2 linked regions of the Elephas maximus indicus genome follow. The main gene of each other region encodes a partner of the protein of the gene in region 2 in a complex. Links are inferred from orthologs where the notes say so. Each region holds a gene or a part of one and is shown on either strand. Other genes may lie near its edges.

What was found.
Region 1: the proteins of BAG6 (region 2) and UBL4A are in contact, whole or in part, in a crystal structure (PDB 4X86), measured with the Homo sapiens proteins. The link is inferred for Elephas maximus indicus from reciprocal best matches to the Homo sapiens genes BAG6 and UBL4A. Residues at the interface, in NP_001092004.1 of Homo sapiens: Gly1052, Pro1053, Leu1055, Leu1057, Ala1060, Val1061, Ala1064, Ala1065, Ala1067, Ala1068, Ala1070, Arg1071, Pro1072, Leu1073, Thr1074, Ser1078, Leu1079, Asp1082, Leu1083, Glu1087, Val1088, Ser1091, Tyr1092, Gln1095, Leu1096, Asp1099, Ile1100, Arg1103, Leu1104; in NP_055050.1 of Homo sapiens: Val95, Leu98, Ile99, Val102, Leu103, Arg105, His106, Phe107, Ser108, Asp111, Arg114, Val115, Gln118, Leu119, Asp122, Tyr123, Glu124, Ser126, Leu127, Ser128, Leu130, Ile135, Leu138, Arg141, Phe142.

What each region holds. Positions count from the first base shown.
Region 1 is NC_064846.1:1,933,667-1,942,849, reverse strand, and holds UBL4A (ubiquitin-like protein 4A), read right to left. Parts: upstream 3,245-9,183; 5' UTR 3,152-3,244; coding exon 3,104-3,151; intron 2,877-3,103; coding exon 2,771-2,876; intron 2,537-2,770; coding exon 2,310-2,536; intron 2,193-2,309; coding exon 2,082-2,192; 3' UTR 1,943-2,081; downstream 1-1,942. Other genes in the region: SLC10A3 (P3 protein), read right to left, coding at 4,333-5,880, 7,150-7,229, 7,486-7,516. UniProt on the Homo sapiens protein: As part of a cytosolic protein quality control complex, the BAG6/BAT3 complex, maintains misfolded and hydrophobic patches-containing proteins in a soluble state and participates in their proper delivery to the endoplasmic reticulum or alternatively can promote their sorting to the proteasome where they undergo degradation.
Region 2 is NC_064819.1:93,180,801-93,190,909, forward strand, and holds the start of BAG6 (large proline-rich protein BAG6), read right to left. Parts: upstream 4,841-10,109; 5' UTR 4,821-4,840; coding exon 4,726-4,820; intron 4,276-4,725; coding exon 4,155-4,275; intron 3,016-4,154; coding exon 2,898-3,015; intron 2,786-2,897; coding exon 2,586-2,785; intron 2,346-2,585; coding exon 2,292-2,345; intron 2,143-2,291; coding exon 2,068-2,142; intron 1,460-2,067; coding exon 1,221-1,459; intron 726-1,220; coding exon 596-725; intron 144-595; coding exon 1-143. Other genes in the region: APOM (apolipoprotein M), read left to right, coding at 7,261-7,374, 7,767-7,921, 8,215-8,288, 8,385-8,483, 8,650-8,748, 9,168-9,193; C1H6orf47 (uncharacterized protein C6orf47 homolog), read right to left, coding at 10,104-10,109. UniProt on the Homo sapiens protein: ATP-independent molecular chaperone preventing the aggregation of misfolded and hydrophobic patches-containing proteins.

The sequences.
Region 1 (9,183 bases), on a different chromosome or scaffold from region 2:
TGCTCCAGGCACAGTGCCAGAGGGCAGGCCCTGAAGGGGAATTAGTCCTACCTACCTCTTGACACACTGTCAGAGGCTGTAATATTGGCTGTGAGACCCAGTTCTGCCCAACGAGACAAAAGCACTTGTTTGCTGGGGTCATCTGAGAAGCTACTCTATAGGGAGAGAAGAAGCCCTTGGGTTCCACGGCAGGTCCAGGCAGCCATCTTTTCTCATAAAAGGAGTGGCCAAGAATGAAGCAGACATTGCAGAATGCTGAGAGGAGGCAAGAAGAAAGAGGGTATTTGGTGAAATGGTTCACTGCTGCCAATACCCTTGGACTTCAATTTCTTCTATTGTTAAACTAATTATTTGAAACCTGTTATGGATTTAACCGTGTCCCCCCAAAATCTGTGTTGTAAATCTTAACCTCTATGCCTGTGGTTCTAATCCCATTTGGGAATGGGTTGTCTTTGTTATGTTAACGAGACAGGATTAGTGTAGGATGTATCTTGAGTCAATCTCTTTTGAGATACACAAGAGATTAAACAAGCAAGCTAGAAAGCAGAGATGGGGGAAGAGAGATGCCAAGCCACATGAAGCTGTCCAAGGAGCCAGGAAACAAGCCAAAGAGACAAGGACCTTCCCCTGAAGCCGGCACCTTGAATTCGTACTTCCAGCCTCCTAAACTGTGAGAAAATCAATTCTTGTTAAAGCCCCCCAGGTGTGGTATTTCTGTTATAGCGGCACTAGATAGCTAAGATAGAACTCAAGGCGGCCAAGCTAATATAGTTCCCTTTGGATAAAAATAAAAATCTCAACCACCTTTAATGTTATTTAAACCTTTGAAATAAATTTGCTGCCTAAAACAAAATGAAAGCATTGGCACATTTTCACGAGTGGCTGGACCACGCATGCTGTTTCTGCTCCCAGCCCTCGGGTAGTCCAGGGGCTTGGGTCTGGTCTTCACAGCCTTCGCCCGTGGGCCTTGGGCGGGGAGTTCCCACCTAAGCCACCCTCCTGCTGTAAGAGCATGGAGACATGGGAAGCCCCAGGGGGGACAGCGGCTGGAGCAGGGTCTCCATATGCACATGGCTTCCTTCCAGCCTCTACCACCCAGGGCCCTCCTCAAAGGAACGGGGCTTAGATGACCTTCTGCACTCTTGGACAGGGCAAGGTGAAGGAGAGAGAAACCGGTGCCACCCAGTCCCCGCTTCTTCAGGGGAGGAGGGGCGTGGAAAGGGGAAGGCCCTGCACACGTGCACCTTCCGTGCTGTGATGAGTGTCCTCAAGCAAGTCACCTGTCACCCCTCATGGGCGAGAACTGACCCCTTCTGGGAGGAGACAGAGGAGAGCCGTGACATGAAGGGCCAGGACACCCCGTCTCTGGTCCATGCTTGGCCATTGCTTCCTTTTTGGCCTCAGTAGTTTATCAAACCCAGGGGGAAGCACTGCTGCAGAGATTCCCCCCTGCTGGGCTGGGGTGAGGTTGAAGGAAGATGGACTCAGATTGGAGGAGTGGCCCTCACTGAGCAGAGCTGATGGCTGGGGCCCAGCATGGCACAGGCACATGCCCCAAGTCACACCACAGAGCCCCGATCTACTTTTCCTTCATCAGAGCACATGGGTTGCAGCGGCTCTGAGGAAGGCCCCAAGGCTGGCTGTCATATGCCAGGACATGTGTCACATCAGCTCCTGTGAAGCTGAGTAGAGGGCAGGTGGCAGGACTGAGCCCCAGGCATCAGCTGCCTCCCCTTTCAGGCCTGGGAGGGAGTCGATGGAGAATTTACTCTCAGTAGGCTACCCATGAAACACCACAGCTCAGCCCTTGTAACTGTTGTAAACAACCACTTGCCCTGCTCCACTGTGAGGCACTTCTAGAAGGTGGCTGGACTCAGATTCTGCCCCCATCCCCTTCACTGGTATGAGCCGGTGTTGTCACACTTTTGTGAGGGGTTGGTGAGTGAACCCAGGTCAAGTGCTTTGACAGTGACTGGCACCTAGCAAGAGCCAGTACCAGTCAGCTGTTTTTATTTTGTTAACATTACGAGAACACATTTAATGCAACATGCAGCCATGCTTCCTCCCACATGCCAAGGATCTTATTTGGAGAGCCCCTTCTCCGTAGCGTCGGTCACTTCAGGGTTCAGGAAGCGGCTTGCCAAGCGTTCAATGTCATCCATCGTCAGGCGGCTCAGGGACCTCTCGTACTCCTGAGGAGAGAAGGCCAGGAGGATTTGGGCTGGGGGGGGGGGGGCAGTCAGCAGAGGCTGGAGCAGGGGGCACTGGAGTGGCAGAGGAGGTTTGGGCTTATGGGGCTACATTCTCACCCGCTGGAGTTGTTCCTGGACCCTGTTGGCATCTGCTGAGCTGAAGTGTCGGCCCAGAACTTTGGCGATCAGCTGCCAAGTCTCTGAGGGTGGAGCTAGTGGTCGGGGCTGGACCTCTGCCTGCCTCCGAGCAGTGCCTTGGTCCAGTAACACCTTCTCCAGAGGCTTGACCACTAGGTTGAGCTTGGAATTGGGGCCAATGCTGTAATCTGAAAGTCGTTTTCCATCTGCCAAGGAGAAATTGATGAAGTTCATTACCTCCAGCTGCTGTAGTTGCCCAGGGAAGTGAGCCCAAGCAAGGGCACTGCAGTGTGTCTTGCTGCCGGTGTGTCGGCTCCCTCTGTGCGGGCAGCACTGATAGCCGCCTCGCTGTGGAGCGTCACACTGCCACCAGTCTCATTCTCGACACCCCACCCCCGCCTTCCTGCGGGGCTCCCTGGGCGTCTCCACTCCCCTGGTACCTGCCAGGGCTTTGCCCTTGAACAGCAGCCGCTGCTGGCGCACAGGGACGTTCAGTTGCTCGGAGACCAGAAGCTTCAGTGAGGACACCATCTCGTCCTCTGACACCTGAGCGGACCGAGTTTGGGAGGCAGGGGTTGAGCCTGCAGTTCGCTGGGCTGTGAAGCCCTCGCAGGCCCCTCCAGGACTCAGCTCTCCAGGCCTCCCCGCCCCGGCTGGCCGACCTGCCCTGTCCCCTCCCCGAGCCGGCGCCGCCCCTGGTCCCTTCCCGTCCCCGCGCCTGAAGGCGGTGAGTGCACGAGTGGGGCAGGGTGGACCGGGCCTGGCGACACTACCTGCAAGATGCACTCTCGGCCCTGGAGCGCCTTCACCGTCAGCTGCATGGCGGCGGCGGCGGCGGCGGCGGCGGCGGCGGCGGCGGCGGCGGCGGCAGTGTCCACTTCGACTGACGCGCACCCCAACGGCCCCCCGCCGCGCGCCACCGCCACCGCCCCGGGCGCGCGCCGGAACCGCCCTGTGCGCCCCACCCTAGCCCGCCCCCTCCGCGCTTGCCCCGCCCCCGGCCCTCACGCCCCGCCTCCCCTCCTCGCCCCGCCCCCTCCGGCCAGCGCGCCCCGCTCCACCCTCTGCCACTCCGGGAGGAGGAGTTCCTCTGGTGTCTGGCTTTGCCCACGCCCAGGGCCGGTCCAGACTGCCGGATCTCCGCCCTCCTCCTCCACCCCGCTACCGTGCGGGGAAGCTAGGCTGACGCCAGCCAGCCAGTACTGTATGCCAGGGTGGAAAAGGGGAATGAGTTGGCCAAGTTTGCTTCATCTGGGAGATGGGGCTTGGGAGAAGGAATGGCTGGGAGTAAGCTCGCCCCGTGGAACTTCAGGCCCTCCAGACGCTCCGACTGCTGGTGGAGTAGCTCAGTAGCAAACCTAGAGTCTGCCTCTCAGTGAGCCCAGCCAGGGAGGGGACAGGTGTCCACAAGTCCTGTCCACACTTGCTCCCCTGTCTGACGGTTTTGTCCCACCTTCCTTTTAGTCTGGCTGCAGAAAAACCAACTGCTGTGCTCAGAGCAGGCAGGGTAGCCCCGCTCTGCCCTCATCCCCCCTGGCGCTCATATTCTAGAGCAGAGAGAGGCCCACCTCTCACAGGATGGCATGAGGGTGGGGGGCTGACAGAAAAAGAGCCTGAAGCTCATAAACCACAGACCTGGACGAAGCCTCCTTTCCAACTCCCCCAAGCACACGTGGTGCAGGGTGTCACCCAAGTTGGCCCTCCACTCTTGCCCACACCTCCCCAGCCACACTCTTCTTACCTCACTCCCACCCCCAGGCCCCAAAGGGCAGAGACTGGAAGGGACCCAAACTTGCTTCTCTCTTTTATTGAAATATATTTCTGGGCAGTGCCCACCTACCTAACTCAGCATGGCCTCTTTGGCAATGAAAGCTGAAGAATACAAAATCAGTACAAAAAATAAGCCTGGATTTTCCAAGTGCATAGTGCATGAGCACTGAAGGCCTTTGGTACGCGAGAACTGCGGAGAGTGGGGAGGGGGGTAGAAGCTTGGCCCGGAGCCTCAGTGAACTGGGAACAGGCTGCTATAGATGAAGTGGCCCATGACCAAAGCCAGCATCTCTGAGGTGCCACTCAGTGCCACAATGAAGGGGGCCTGGGAGGCAAAGTCAGCTTGGAGGTGGCGGAAGGACAGCTGCAGCATGGCCAAGGCCAGCAGGCTGTTCTGCACCCCGACCTCAATGCTGACCGTTCGCCGCTGAGCCACAGGCAGCTTCAGACATGTGGCCAGGCAGTAGCCCACCAAAAGGCCCACCAGGGGCACTGTGAGGCCCACCAGCACGATGGGGAACCTGACGCCCGCCAGGATGAAGATGCCCATGCGGTAGGCCAGAAAGAGGCCACCCAGGAGGAGCACAAAGCTGAAGGGCTTGATGACCTGCAGCAGCAGCTGGGAGAACCTGGGGAGCTTGGACTTGATCACCACACCAGCTGCTATTGGAATGGCAATGAACAGCAGCGTCCCCAGGATCTTGGAGATGGGCACGTGAAGGGTTTCATGGATGCTGAGAAGGTGGCTGTAAATAGCTGAGGACAGTGGCAGGAAGCCAGTGGCAGCCACCGTGGAGATGAAAGTCATGGAAATGGCAAGGGTGACATCTCCTCCAAGGAGGAGGCTGAAGAGGTAGCTCCCGCCACCCCCGGGCGAAGAGCAGGTGATGATGAGGCCCAGGGCCAGGGCCTTGGGCAGCATGAAGACCTTGGCCATCAGGAATGCATAGAAGGGCATGACCAGGAACTGACCCAGGAGGCCCAGCAGCATGGGCTGGGGGCTGTGCAGGAACCCCTTCAGAACCTCGAGCTCCACTTTGCACCCGAACGAACACTTGTTGACGAAAATGAGAGGCAGGAGCAGGTAGAGTATTGGGTTCTCTGAGAAGTGGGCCAGGTCAGCACTGAGGGTGGCTGGCGCGTCTTCAGCAGGCAAGACCTTGATGGAGAAATCACTCCGTTCCTCGATCAGCAGGGGCTGGGCCTTATGCAGGTCCATGAGCTGCAGGTGGAGGGGTGCCAGCCCTGCCAGGCCAGAGTGGATGCTCACCACAAAGCCACCCCCACCACCCCAGCTTACGGCACTCACGTTCTTGATGGTCAGCACCGCTGTGTCCAGGGAGGTGACCCTGAGCGTGGGGCCAAGCCTAGTCCCATTGCTCTGAGCCGGGTACTGGCTTGAGATCACGATGATGCCTTCACTCTCCTCGGGGAACTCAAACTCCATCACTGAGCCGTCCCCAATGCTCAGGTAGTGGGCCCTCATCAGTGGTACAGTGTGGCCCAGAGCTGTGCTGAGGTTGCCACTGGCTGTTCCTCGGACTCTCCATGGCAGGCTGGCAAGAAGCAAGGCAGCCTGAAGCATACTGAGGGGGCCTGGGCAGCCACCCACCCTGCCCAGGCCAGGCCTCTCTAACACCATGGCTTCTCCTGAAGGACCATGCACCAGGGTTCTCTGCAGCTTAGGAGGGCTCCCCAGCCTGTACCGTCGGCTGGTCCTGAGAACAGTCCATGGGCAAGTCCAGGTACTGGGCTGCTTTCCTGGATGGCAGAGCTCTCCCTGAGGAGAGAAAGGACACAGAGAGGAGGCTGGTGACGGACAGCAGCATGAGCCTGTGAGACTTGGCCCTCTGGGAGTGGTAGCATAGGGATCTGGAAGCCTTAGCAGAGCCTCTTGCGTCAAGCCCAGGAACAGAAGGGCAATGCTTGATGCTGGCCCTTAAGTGCCATTCGGCTGTCCCCTCCCCCAACACAGCTGCCTCAAGTTTCCCACATGCTAGTGTGGCCCCCCATCCCTTGCCCAGAGGGTCCAGCTACAGATATGAGTTACTGTCAGCCGCTGATAACTACTAATTTCCCTGGACATGCCCTCTCTGCCCCTCCAGGGGCAGCGTAGAGATGCCCCGATTCCAGTGGGTTCGAGGAGAGCCACCCCCAGGCCTGTCACCACTAGCACCACATACAAGGCCTGTTTAATCCCCATGGGCTCCGAAACACAGTGACAGTGGGCTTGCTGTGATACCACAACTGGATGTGATCCCGAAACACTGCTTGGGGATGACCAGGAGGCCCGCCTGAGGAGAGCAAAGGGTGCTGACTGAGCCTGATCTGGGAGCGCTTGAGAACAGGCCAGGGAGTTGGAGTGCCTCAGGCTAGGCACAGAGGCCAGCAGAACAGTGTGGGCAGGTGGAAGGCCCCAGAGGCTTTTGTCTGCCACCAGTGCTCTGTTGGGAAAGGGGCTGGCATGACTACCTGGCCTGCCCTGCCTGCTGGCAGTGGTGAGAAGGGAGTCCTGAGGAGGAGCAGGTCCCCTTCCCCCAAGGAACTTGCTGGAAGAAGCAGCAGGAAGGGGTCAAATAGGGTCACATGTCTGCTGAGGAGCTTCCCCTCCTCTGGACAGAGCTCCTACTCCTCTGGCAGTCTCCAAATATGGCTACTGGAGTCGCAACCTCATATTTGGAAAGCTGTGCTCGGAGGCTAGTCTCCCACCCCCACATGTGCCCCCACCAGCATCTCTCACTACCAGTGTGTCTGTGAGTGCACTGGGGTGAAGGGTGCCTCATGGTGAATATTGTTGCATCACCTGCTACAACTGGGGCAACACAGCAGTTTTGCATCGCTACTTCTGGTTGCTTCACACCTTGGCAGAGCCACTGGCTTCTCTAGTTCCTAGTAGTGTTTGGCCCTTGCTTCCCCTTCCTCACCCCCCCACCCCACCAGTCTGGGTACAGAGGGAAGTGGAGGGCAGCTTAGGCAAAAGACTGGTCCTTGGAAAAGCGTCCCCCAGGATGACATGGGCTCTGCTGGTTTGGGAGCTTCAGGCACTTACCCTGGAGGCCTTGGTCCAGCCTTGCGTCCCACCAGAAAAGAGGGATGCAGGAACACAGAGATGGGGGCATGAGAAGGAAACTGGAGGGATTTAGAGGAAAAAGATAAAGGCTCCCAGGCCCCCGTCTTCCCAATACACCAATACAGCTACCAGCTTTAAGTCACCGCAACAGAGGTTCAGCTCAGACCCTAAACCATTTCTGCTGCAGGGCCGGAAGAGTTTGACCAGAATGCACCCCAGGGCGGGGTATGGATCTCGACCCCGGACGGCTTTGTCCACACGGGTTTTCAGTGTTGAGGGCTAGTTGGCAGTGATGGTCTCAGGGCTCCTCCCTACCTGGAAGTCCGGAAGTTGTCTCATTTTCCATGAGCAGAGCTGCTTCTCACTCGTGGGCGCAAACCAGGGAGGGAAGGAGCGCGCGGCCGTCCCGCAGCCGGCAGGTTGGGGGCCTCCCGGGTGGCCCCGAGGGCAAAGGAAACCTCGCCTGACCCCCAGGACGCACGGCCACGCCAGGCCTAGCGAATGCGCGGCGTCCGGTCCTTCCCCGCCGGCCCCTGGCGCTGGAGCCAGCGCGCAACCGGGCTGGGCCAGAGGCCACAGGCCACCTCCTGCCCGACCCTTCCCGGCCTGAGGCTCTCACCTGCCGCGCCCGCGGAGCTCGACGCCAGCGCCTGCCCAGCCAGCCGGACGCCTGCGAGCTCGGCCCGCCAGGGCCCCGCCCACGGCCCCGCCCCAACCGACCCCGCCCACCAGGGCCACGCCCCGCGCGGCTCCTGGCCACGCCCACCTCACGGCCCACCGTTCACCGTTCGCTTCCGGGTTGGGTTTCCACCGGATGTGACGTTTTGGGGAGTGGCGCGGCGGCCCGCGATGAAGAGCGGGCTTTCGGGCCCAGGACTGGCGGGCGGTACTGGCGGCTTGCCATGTTGTCACCTGGTGGCGCCGGGCGCGGCCTCCTTCGGCCCCCGGACCGTGTGTCTGAACCTTTTCTGGGCGCCGCCAGGGGCACTTGCTCCGGGAAGGGGTCCCGGTCATTTTCAAGCACTCTGCGGCTTCTGGGGGTGGTGGGACACGGGGTTAGACGTTAGCAAGGCTCGGCAGACTCGGGGACTGCTGCCAAGGGCACGGAGAGGCGGTCGCGGAGGGCCCGGGCTTCAGGGTGCCCAGCCTTTGTGCGGAGTTCCGCTTCATTCGTTCAAGTATTGACCGAGCGCCTATTCCCACATTGTGGGTCATTAAATGGACTCCCAGGAATTGTTCACCTTCGAAACCATTTGGTACGACCAGCAAGGTCCAGAGGCTTCAGTGAAAAGGAGTGGAAGAAACAGATGGCATAAGGATGGGGAAAAAGGTAGTGAGAGGGTGTACAGAAGCTGCCGGGAGACAGTAAACAAGTCAGAGTCAAAGGGGATTTGTATGTTCCCAAAGGCTGCCAGGGCAACTTGAATCAGCCTGCACACGAATGAACAAGCTACACTGCTCTGATGGAGCCTCTCGTAACTGCTATGATGGAGGCTAACGGTCCCCAAAGTCGGTGACGCTTAGCTCCAGGAGGTACACAAGACACACCATTGTAAATGTTCAAAGAAAACAGAGTTTTCATTTAATCTGTAAACATTTACTTTGTGTGAATTATAAAATTAAACTTAGTACCGCCTATAATACATAAACACATGGGCACACACTGGGGGTGCATGCTCAAAAAGATTTGACTTATATGGGTGATCAAAAACATTCAGAGGCTGTTCTTTAGGCTCTGAGAACCAGTAAGGCGTGAACCATTTGTGTGCAGTTGTCCTGGAACGTTCGTACTGTTCCTTACAAATGTGGCTGAGGGCTGCCAGAAGCAGGTAGTACTTAGAGCTGGGGCAGGTGAGAGGGCTGAGTTAGGCACATCCTGTGGCTGAAGACTGCAGTTTGGAAGGTGGGCAGTGGGATGGGGGCTGTTGGAGGATGGGGTAAACTGGCCCCAGGAGGGAGAAGGGGCTGGGTAAGTGGATATATGCCCGTGACCAAAAGATGAGCCATGCTCTA
Region 2 (10,109 bases):
GGCCGGACCACATGCAGGTGCCGTGGTGGTGCACAGGCCAGGTTGCAGCGCAGGTCAGACAGCGCCACGAAGGTGTTGCCCAGCAGCCGCAGGCTCTCCCCCACCATGTTGATCAACCGCTGGTCCTCCTCACGGCCCTCGTGCTGTACCCCCACACCAAACACAGAGACTATCAGGTGGGAACCCACCTCAGAACAAAGCACCAGCGCCACCTGAGATGCCATGCCTCTAAACCTTCAGTCACACGCTTGAGGGCTTCTGTGCAAACCAAATCTTTGCAAATAAATTACACCCTATATGCACAAAACGCTTCCTATTAAAACAAACCCTACGTGGAATCAATGAGTCAATAACCAGTGATCTCCCTTACTTCATAAACTCCCTAAACAACTTACTCAGGAAAAGAAGGATTAGTGCCACCTTCCTTGGAAGGAAAAAAGAATTTACTGCCTTAAACGTTTACGAGAAAATCATTTCACTGCAGACAATGTGTTTTTCTTTTTTTTTGAGGGGGGGCGGTGGGGAACTGGTGGTTATCTATATTCCAGCCTCTTCTGTTCAGGGAGTTCTGGGGTGAAGAGGTGGGAGGACTTACATTGTTGTTATAGTCCGTGGTGGCAGCAGCACCCAGAACCTCATAATAGCGCTGCAGGAAGGGCTGGAGGCGGCTCTCCAGCCGCTGCAGTTCCTGGAGCACCTCCACGTACTCCGCAGGGGAAGGATGGCTGCAGGCAACCCCAAGAGGCAGTGAGCCAAGGCTTTCCTCAGGCTCCCAACTTCACAGTTAATAGGGACCACACGTGCCCCGTCTCTCCCTGGCCTCCCAAACCTCTGGCCCAATCTCTTCCTGGACTAACAGTGCTTCTGTGCTTTGGCCCCACCTGGAGAAGACTGGGAGAGGAAAAAGAACTGCGCCCACCCTCCCCACTGCACACTCTTGTACCTTCAAGGGTAAGAAACTAACTGAAAAGCAGAGATAAGGCCATGTGAACTGGGGGGAGAGTTTAGAACAGGCTCAGGTGGCACCATTAGGATTTCCTTGCCCCAGGGACAGCAGTGCCTCTGCTCAGCTGCCAGTCTCATCCCTTTTACCTACAACCAGAATGCCCCCTGCCCCTCACAGCTGATCTCACAAGCAATATCTCCAAGCAATCCTTCCCTCCCATCACACCTTAGTTCCCATATTTCATTTAGGACCCCTGCTGGGTGCCCTCTCTCACTTGGGTGCATTTGTCTCTGGGGCAGGTGTTGGCCCCGCAGGGGCTGGACCAGAAGGGGTGAGCTCTGGGCTCTGAGCTGGGGCACGCTCCTCTACTTCTTCTGCCTCCATAGGCTCCCGAGGAGGGGCTTCGCTTTCGGCGGGTTCTGATGTTTGAGAGCTCAAGGCTACTGGCTCCGGGGTGGCAGTCGGCGTCTGTGGGGGCGGCTGACTGTGCTGGGCTTGGGGCCCCCCTCGACACTGAAGGTGGAGGAGAGTCAGGACACCAAAGGCAGGATGAGACTACTGCAGAGCATTACTCGGGTCAAAAGAGACTGAGCAGAGAACATGCTCTAACTAGGTTTTTTGGAGGCAAAGCTTTGTGTCTACATTTTTGACTCCCCAGGAACTAGTAAAAGACACAAATCAGGAGCATAATAAATATTTATAAGATTCGTAAATAAGCTACTAACAAAAAGTACAGACTAGTTTTTGTATCTCCAGGACAAAAGAAGAACAGGCGACAAATTACAGCTGCAATTCAAACTAACGGAGTTAAAACGTTCTGATGTTAAAAGTAATAAATAAACTAAAATAGGCGGAACCTTTTTTTAATGGAACAAACAGAGACCGTCAGAATTATCTAAAAAGTCTGAAACAAACTCCCCAGATATTAGATGCCAAGAAGACTAGCAGGGACAAGATAGCCCCACAAAGATACTTTTTCTGCTTGAAAGAATGAAGACTGCAAAAAAGAGACCAGATTAGGGAAGCAGTGGATATAGCCAGTCATGCCCCCATCCCCAGGATGACAGAAAGAGGATGCACAGAGAGAGACAGACACACACTAGCCAGCCCTGCCTGCTTACCTCCATCCGGGATAGCAAAGTCTGTATATCCCTGATCATGTGCTGAGCCATCACCAGCCGTACCCGGGGCTCACTCTATGGCAAGAGAAGGGATGATCAGGGCAGGTCTGAGATGAAGCCATGAGCTCCACCGCCTACTAAACGAGGTCCCAGCCATCTCCACCCCACCTCAAGGCCTCCTTCTCCCAGATCCCCTTCCCTGACCCTCCCAGGCCCCGTGATACCTGAATCGGGGCCTGTTCCATGTTGATGTGAACATCCACAGCAGAGCCGTCACTCTGGGGAAAGGGTAAGTGAAGTTGCTCTGGGAGAAGCCAAATACTAAGGCCCCCATACTTTCAACTCATTCTCTGGAGCCCCGCCCCCTTTCCCTTCAAAGATTGAGGCCAATATCAGACCAAAGGAGCCTCCAAACTCAATCTATAGACTAAGACGCCTGTCTTACAAGCGCCCTGCTACTACCACAACCAAATCTACCCTTACCCAAAAAAACCCTCCCAAGTGGAACACAAGCTTACAGGAAGATTGAAGGTTCCAACCATGACATAGCTGTTCGCATTCCGGTCATGAACAGAGGCCCCAGGACCCCGAGTACCAGGTGGGGGTCCCCCACCATGGGTAGCAGAGGGAGACCCTGTCCCAGAAGATGCCCCAGAAGAAGGGAGTTGAGTCTGAGGAGGAGCCCGTTCCACCAGATGGATAACCTTTCCTCCAACATCTGTGGTGCAAAAAGATAGACACACACCAAAACATCAGGTAAAGCCATAATGTCAGCACATCACTCTGCACACCAGCTTCAACCTCTGAGTTGCCATCCCCCACCCCCTTACTGTATTCCTGGAGCTTCTTATCATCCTGCAGAACACGGCCCTGGTAGATGAGCCTTTGTTTCTCAGAGGGGATGCTGACAGAGGCAGCAATGTGTTCCTTAAACTCCTTTACATTCATCTGCAAGGAGGAAAAGATAAGAATAGGAATCAGGAAATGGAGGGAGGAAGAAGGAACAGAGGAGTGACAACTGACTCATGCCCAGATAAGGAGCAAAAACCGTAATAAAATCACTACCTATGTTGACTGTGAGATAGTTACCATGCAAATTTCTGAGAACAGATACAGACAAAATATATCAAGACACAGACAACAAACTCAGATAAGCTCAGGTTATATGCCCAGAAAAGAATTACATAGCTGAAAAACAGAAAAACCAACTGACATTCCTTTCTCTCTTTTTATGCTTGACTCCCAAGGGAACGTGTGTCTCAAGATGCCAGAGGGGATCACCCTTCCCGAAACACAAAATGATACCAGAAGTTTCTTTACCACAGACAACCCTGTAATCTCAAAAATAAGAGAAATGACAAAGAAGATGGGTGAAGGTTAAGAAGGGAAGATCCAACCAAGAAGTAAGCAAGAAGGAAACAAAAAACAAAACATTTTTCATAACTAAACAACTCTAGGAAACACCAAAATGTTTACGTGACATCTAACCTCAAAAATCTACGTGGTTTTCTTAAATACTCATGGAGTACAATGTTTTAAACACCCATGAACCAACTCAGTCACAATTTTGTCTCCAAGTATCACCGGAGTAAAAACACAGGTAGCTGTATCCGTGATATTAAACTCAAGAAATTAAAAGTATGCCACATTCATAATTCCACCCAGCAGTCTATATGAGCTCTACATTCATTATTAGCTCTGATTTCTAGCCTTAAAGACACGGTATACACCTGGCCAATTTTTGTTCTTAAAGCACACTTCTGTTTTGGGTCCGTGTGTTGTTTGAGCTATGGCTGCCCCTTTGGGCTGACGATCACCTACAATGATGGGATACAGATGGCCCCTTCCTCTGTATTTCCCTCTGCAATGAGTTCTAAAGAAAAAGAGTAAGGCAGAAAATGTGCCTCACTCATCAGAAACTCTACCTTCTCATTCAACGAGAAACACCAGAAACGTTTTGTATAAAATACCAACAAACAAATCAATGTCAGAAAATTTGGGGGACGAGAAAATCAGGTTCTTCCCTCAGGCTAAGGAGCCTATAAGAAAAAGCTAATCAATGTCTTCCAACAGCAACAGGGTCTCACCTGGGCCCCCACAATAAAGGTCCGAGTCTGAGAGTCCAAGGTCTTCACCAGCACCTCCAGGCTGTCAGGCTCCTCCATAGTGGTGCTGGTACTATCATTGGGTTCCATGGCCGACAGTTCTCTAGGGAAGAATGGAGGGAGATCCGCTGTAGCCTGGAGCAGATTTTATATACCCGGAAGCCTCCCCAGCCTGAGTCCCCGCCCCAATATCTAAAAAGTTTCTCCCACACAAGCACTCGCACTCACACCCGCCCCCATCCCCCTTCCGATTCCGGGGCAGAGAAACACAAAGGGCAAGGGATCGACGGCAAAGGGAGCTGGAGGACGGGAGGTGGGAGGGGCTCCAAGACGCCAATCACAATAACGAGGGCCAGTCGGATTAGAAAGCAGGGGAGGAAGCACGAGACCAGTGTCATCACCGGTCGCAATAGGACAAGGGCCCTAGGGATCGGCAAACCCTGGGACACTGCGAGAGCGGGGGTCGCGCCAGACACTGCGGAGAAAATAGCTTCGCGCACGCGCGCCACGCCCATCGAACCCGCCTAAGTCACGACAGACGGCAGACACTCACGGGGGGCGGGACCGGCTAGCTGATAGCCCCCCGTCTTCCGCCTTCCCTCGGCGATCCAGCAGAGCGGCACAATCGACATACAGCCAAACACACATACAAACACACACACACTCTCACATACACACTTCCCCGCAGCTCCACCCCCGACTTCTCCAAGGTACCGTCACTTCCGGTCTTCCCAACCTGCCACCGACGGCCACTTCCGTTTCCCCGATAGTATTTGGGGATCGCAAGGCGGTACTTCCGGCTCCCCCCAGGTCCCCAAACTTTCCTTTTGTGGGGCACGACGAGAAAGTCCGCGGCCCCCAACGGAATGGATCCCTGGGGGCGAGACGGGCCGGGGGCGGCCTAGATGGGAAGGAGCCGAGCACCCCGAGGATCCGCCACGGCCGTCGCCCGGGGGACCGTACTGCGCCTGCGTGAGTTGCAGTACGCATGCGTACGTCCTTAAGCACGTCCCCACCCCCCGCTTCTCATGTTCGTGCGTTTGAGCGATCAAAGGTTGAGGTGGCCACGATAAATGCCTGAAAATAAATTACTATCTGGAACTGTACGACTGCCTGGAGAGACGCTTTGGACTGTTGCATGGCTCTTGAAGTTTGAGTATTTGAGACTATGCCTCATTTAATCTATTTTAAAGTCCTGGCAGGCAGAGAATTTCAGGCGGCACTGCTCTGGCCACCTAAAACCCTGCCTTCCAGTCAGTGTAGACCTCGCTGCGCCCTTCGGCGCCTCAGCAAGTTACCTTTCCGCAGGCGGTTGGTGGCGACTCGCGTATTGTCCGTTCTGTTGCGTGAGGTCCTATCGTTCGTCGGTCCTCAGTTCTATCCGGTGGGCATTTTGTGGGGTCCGGGCGCCATGTTCCTTACCGTGGGCTTCGCGGCCGAGGGGACACGCCATCCTTTCGGAAAGTTAAGGATGCTGCCCTACCTTTCGGGAATTTTGTCAAGAAACCCGTCCAAGTTTGGGAATTGTGGCAAATGGAGTCAGATGGGACCGAAAGACGAAACTCTGACCCAAACGGTTTTGGCAGGCCAGGGCTGCCTGAGTTATTGCTCCTCTCTGCCCTTCCCCCAAGGGCAGGGTCTTCGGCCCTGCGACGGTACGACCCGTCCAGCTAAACCCCTTGTTGCTGAGATGCCTGCCTCAGGGGGTGCTTTTCCAAAATTTATAGTTTTTACATACCCAAGTCCCAAATGAAGAGGTCTAATAAGATCTGTCTAGTGAGCACTTAGTGTCAAGCAATATACTAAAATTTCACGTACTGTGGTCACAGTAAATTTTTCGTCTGAGATATTACATCTGTTTTATAGGTGAGTACACCTAGGCGAACATAAGTGGCAGAACTGACAATCAGTCCTAGGCCTGCCAGACTCCGGCTCCAGCACTTACACTTTGCTACCCCAATAAATTGTATTTTTTTTTTTTTTTTTACTATAAAAAGTTTCAAACATACCCAAGTAGAATAGTATAATGAACACTCATATACCCATCACCCAGATTATTTTTTGTTTCTTTTTTTTTAACTAAATCACAATCCCACAGCAACCCTCATTGCTGAGGACAATTTTTTTTTTTTTTGCAGTCTGCGTGTTATAGAGAAGCCCCACCTCTCATTGCATTAACTCTGCACCACCCACTTGGCACTATTTAATTACTACTTCTTGCAGACATTACCATTAATTATGGTTAGTAATTTACTTTGAGCTTACCACATGCCGGCGTTTGCTGGTCTTTATGTATATCATCTCATTTAACCCTATGAAATTCATATGTGCCCATTTTACAGATGAAGAAACAGGCACAGAGATTAATAAAATTGCTCAAGGTCTAATAACTAGAGTTGGGGGTTGAACCCAGGTCCTCCTAACACCAAAGTCTTTTCTCTTACCCGTTAGATTATATAGCCTCTTGCTTAGCAATAAAGGTCAGTGAATGAACCCATTTTGTCAGCAAACTTTTACAAAGATACAGTTTCCCCAATTACAAATTCCTGCAGAGAGAAAGTCTCCCACCCATCCCACCCCAGTACCTGGTTCATACCTGCTCTAAAGCACTTATCAGGTTGTATTGCAATGATTTGTTTGTACAGCTGGTTTTCCCCAGACTTCTTCAAGGCCAGGGACTATGTCTTATCCATCCTTATGTCCCCAGGGCTTAGCCAGTTCCTGGCAAACAAATGGGACTCAAAACAGGTTGCTAAGTGAAGGAATGAAAGCAACCCCACTTCACTGCTGCACAACATAGCAGATATCCAGCTCAGATGCGGATTGAAAACCCAAGCTCTCATAACTCCCGAGAGACCCTGAACATACCAGGGTATACTGTGGAGTGGCTGCATCTAGAGGAGGGGGAGGAAGGTCCAAATCCAGACTTGGGTTGGAAAACAAGGTTGAAGTTACTCATTAGCAGGTGAAAGGGTCAAGGGTCAAGGCAAGGGGGCTGGGAGTAGAGTAGACTGAGCAGCCAGCAGGGGAGAGAGCAGTTAAGGCACCAGCCACCCCACACAGGGCATCGGCTCCCTCCTGCCTGAAGATGTTCCACCAAATTTGGGCAGCTCTGCTCTACCTCTATGGAATTCTCCTTAACTCCATCTACCAGTGCCCTGAGCACAGTCAACTGACAACTCTAGGAATGGATGGGAAAGAGGTACAGACTGGGAATGAGGGAAGCCTATGATAGAGGCTCTCAGGGACTCAGCTGGGTGGCCTAGGATGACTAGAAGCCATGTTGGGAAAGGAGAGTAGGAAGAGGGTATAAATGTTGGGATGATGAAAGCAAGAATAAGAAAAATACTAGGACTGTAGTCATCGATGTGGAGACATGGCAGAATTGGGAGTGGGCTTGGTTAGCCAGGTTGATTGGGGAGGAGCAAAGGGGAAATGTCATTGATGACTCTGTGTGATAGATCCATTACCCAATTAGAAAGAGGAAAACAGCCCACACCCTACCCCTAAGTCTTCTCCTACTGGCTGATGAAGAGGTTGAATGGATCCTGTTATGGGACCCACCCTCTTTTGCTCCCCTCATTGTCTCTCCAGTTCCCAGAGCCCCACCTTGGCCGGTGGTACTTTATCGCAGGGGCAGCTCCCACCAGGGAAGAATTGGCAACTTTTGACCCTGTGGACAACATTGTCTTCAACATGGCTGCTGCCTCTACCCCGATACAGCTCCAGCTTCATGCTACCATCCGAACGTGAGTGATGAGGAGGCAGAGGCACCAGTGGGTGCAGTCTCTGACCAAAGTGTGAGCACCCACCACCAAGAGCTGTGCTCTTGGCTGATACATTCACTGTTCTTGGCCCACTTGGTTCAAAAGCTGTATTAGTTTCCCTCTGACAGAGAGAGATGGACCTAACCATCCCTTGGTAGCCTGAAACCCAAGGAGATCCAGGCTTCAAGGAGGAATAAGATGGAATAAATGGAGGCAGATGCTGTGTGGCCGGGGTGTCACTCGGTTTCTCCTCCATGCCACTACCACCTATGCAGGAAAAATGGGCTCTGTGTGCCCCGGAAATGGACCTACCACCTGACTGAGGAAAGCACTCATCTCAGAACTGAAGGTTGGTTCCCCAAGTCCCCTGACCCTCCCCAAGTCCCCTAGGCTTGCTTGGTTTTGCATCTCTCTCCTCGCCCCCTCCTCCCACCCACCCTCACAGGCCGTCCTGACATGAAAACCGAGCTCTTCTCCAGTTCATGCCCAGGTGGAATCATGCTGAAAGAGATGGGCCAGGGCTACCAGCGCTTCCTCCTCTATAGTGAGTGGGGTGCAAAGCAGGAAGGATCAGAGAGGGCAGGAGGGCCCCTCACTCTGGGCCCTATGATATGACTCCAGGGAGGGTTGAGTGCTTCCATGAGGCCCTCACCAGGGGCTGTGCTGAGGAGCAGGGGCTCAACTAGCCTGACCCTGCTCTGCCCTTCTAGATCGCTCACCACACCCTCCCGAGAAATGTGTGGAGGAATTCCAGTCCCTGACCTCCTGCATGGATTCCAAGGCTTTCTTACTGATGCCCAGGGATCAAGGTGAGGGGTTAAAGTCCTAAAGTAGAGGACTAGGACTGAGCAAGTCTTCTGGGAGTGCTGGATGAAAGGGGCTCATGTGACATCATAGGACGACATGGCCAAAGCTGACATCATCAGAATGGCTATGTTGACACTCCCATTTGTGTCATAGGCTATGATGGCACCAGAGGCAGGTGGCCAAGGGCTGTGATGTCACTTGAGGAACCCAGGCTGGACTCTGGGCTACTCAAAAGAGGGGTTTCTGAGTTTGCATGGGTAAAGGGTCAGTCATGGAGGGAAAAAGTCCTCAGAGATCCTTTTTTGGAAAAAAGGAACATGGCGGAATAAAGGAACGCATTCTTCCCTTCTTCATTACCACCAATTTTGCTTCTCTCCCTGTTCTTCCTTTCCATCTTTTTTTTTTTCCTCCCTCCTGCCAGAGGCCTGTGAGCTGTCCAATAACTGACCTGTGGCTTCATCTGTGCCCCCAGACGGATACTGTGGGAGCTGTGATGGTGGTGGGTGGGAGGAGACTAGCTAGAGACTTCCAACTCCCTTTCGAGAATAATAAAGATGATTTTCCAGTCCTCATTCTGGGGTTTGTCTCCAGATATCAATCCTACTCTGCACATTTCAACACTCCCACTAAACCCCCAGCTGGACGACGTCAGGAAGGACACTGAGTGGTGGTAACTCTCACTTTGTAGTGGTATATTTAGGATTTGGTGTGACACAATTTATTGCTGAGTGAGCAAACTCCTAACTAAAGTGGAACTGCAAACTCCAGTGTCTCCCCTATGCTGCCTGTCTGACCTGCCTGCACCACCCCTGCTCCTTCCGTACCCCGTGAAGATTCCTGCAGGCTCCCTATCCCCTGTGGGCCCCTATCCAGATGCTCCAATCCACCTGCCGAGCAGCCTGCTCTTCCAAGATGGCTGAGATCCCTGGATGCAGGAGATCCCTTGACCATCCTCTTACCTCAGGGGTCTGTCTGTCCTACTTCTGGTCTCCTCCACCCTTGGGGAGTTATGAAAGATAGAAAAAACCCTTTAGTATTTATCCCGCCCTCTCCCCCCCCCCCTTTTTTTTTAAATGGAACTGAGAGAAATGTAAAAGTAAAAAGTTACAACAGCTGGTGAATCCAAGGGCGATGCCCCACCATCCATAAACACAGAAACCCTAAAGCTGCTCTGTTCTCTCCTGTGTGTGAAGAGGGCTCTGTGCCCTCATGCCTTGGGTTTTCTTCCCCATCCCTGAGGTTCCTATGTTCCCGATCTGGGTCATGCCCCCTACTCTCTTCCTGAAGGCCACACCATCTTCACTACTTGCCCCCATCTCACTGAGGGTGGGGTCCTGGGTCACACCCCACCCCATGGTCACAG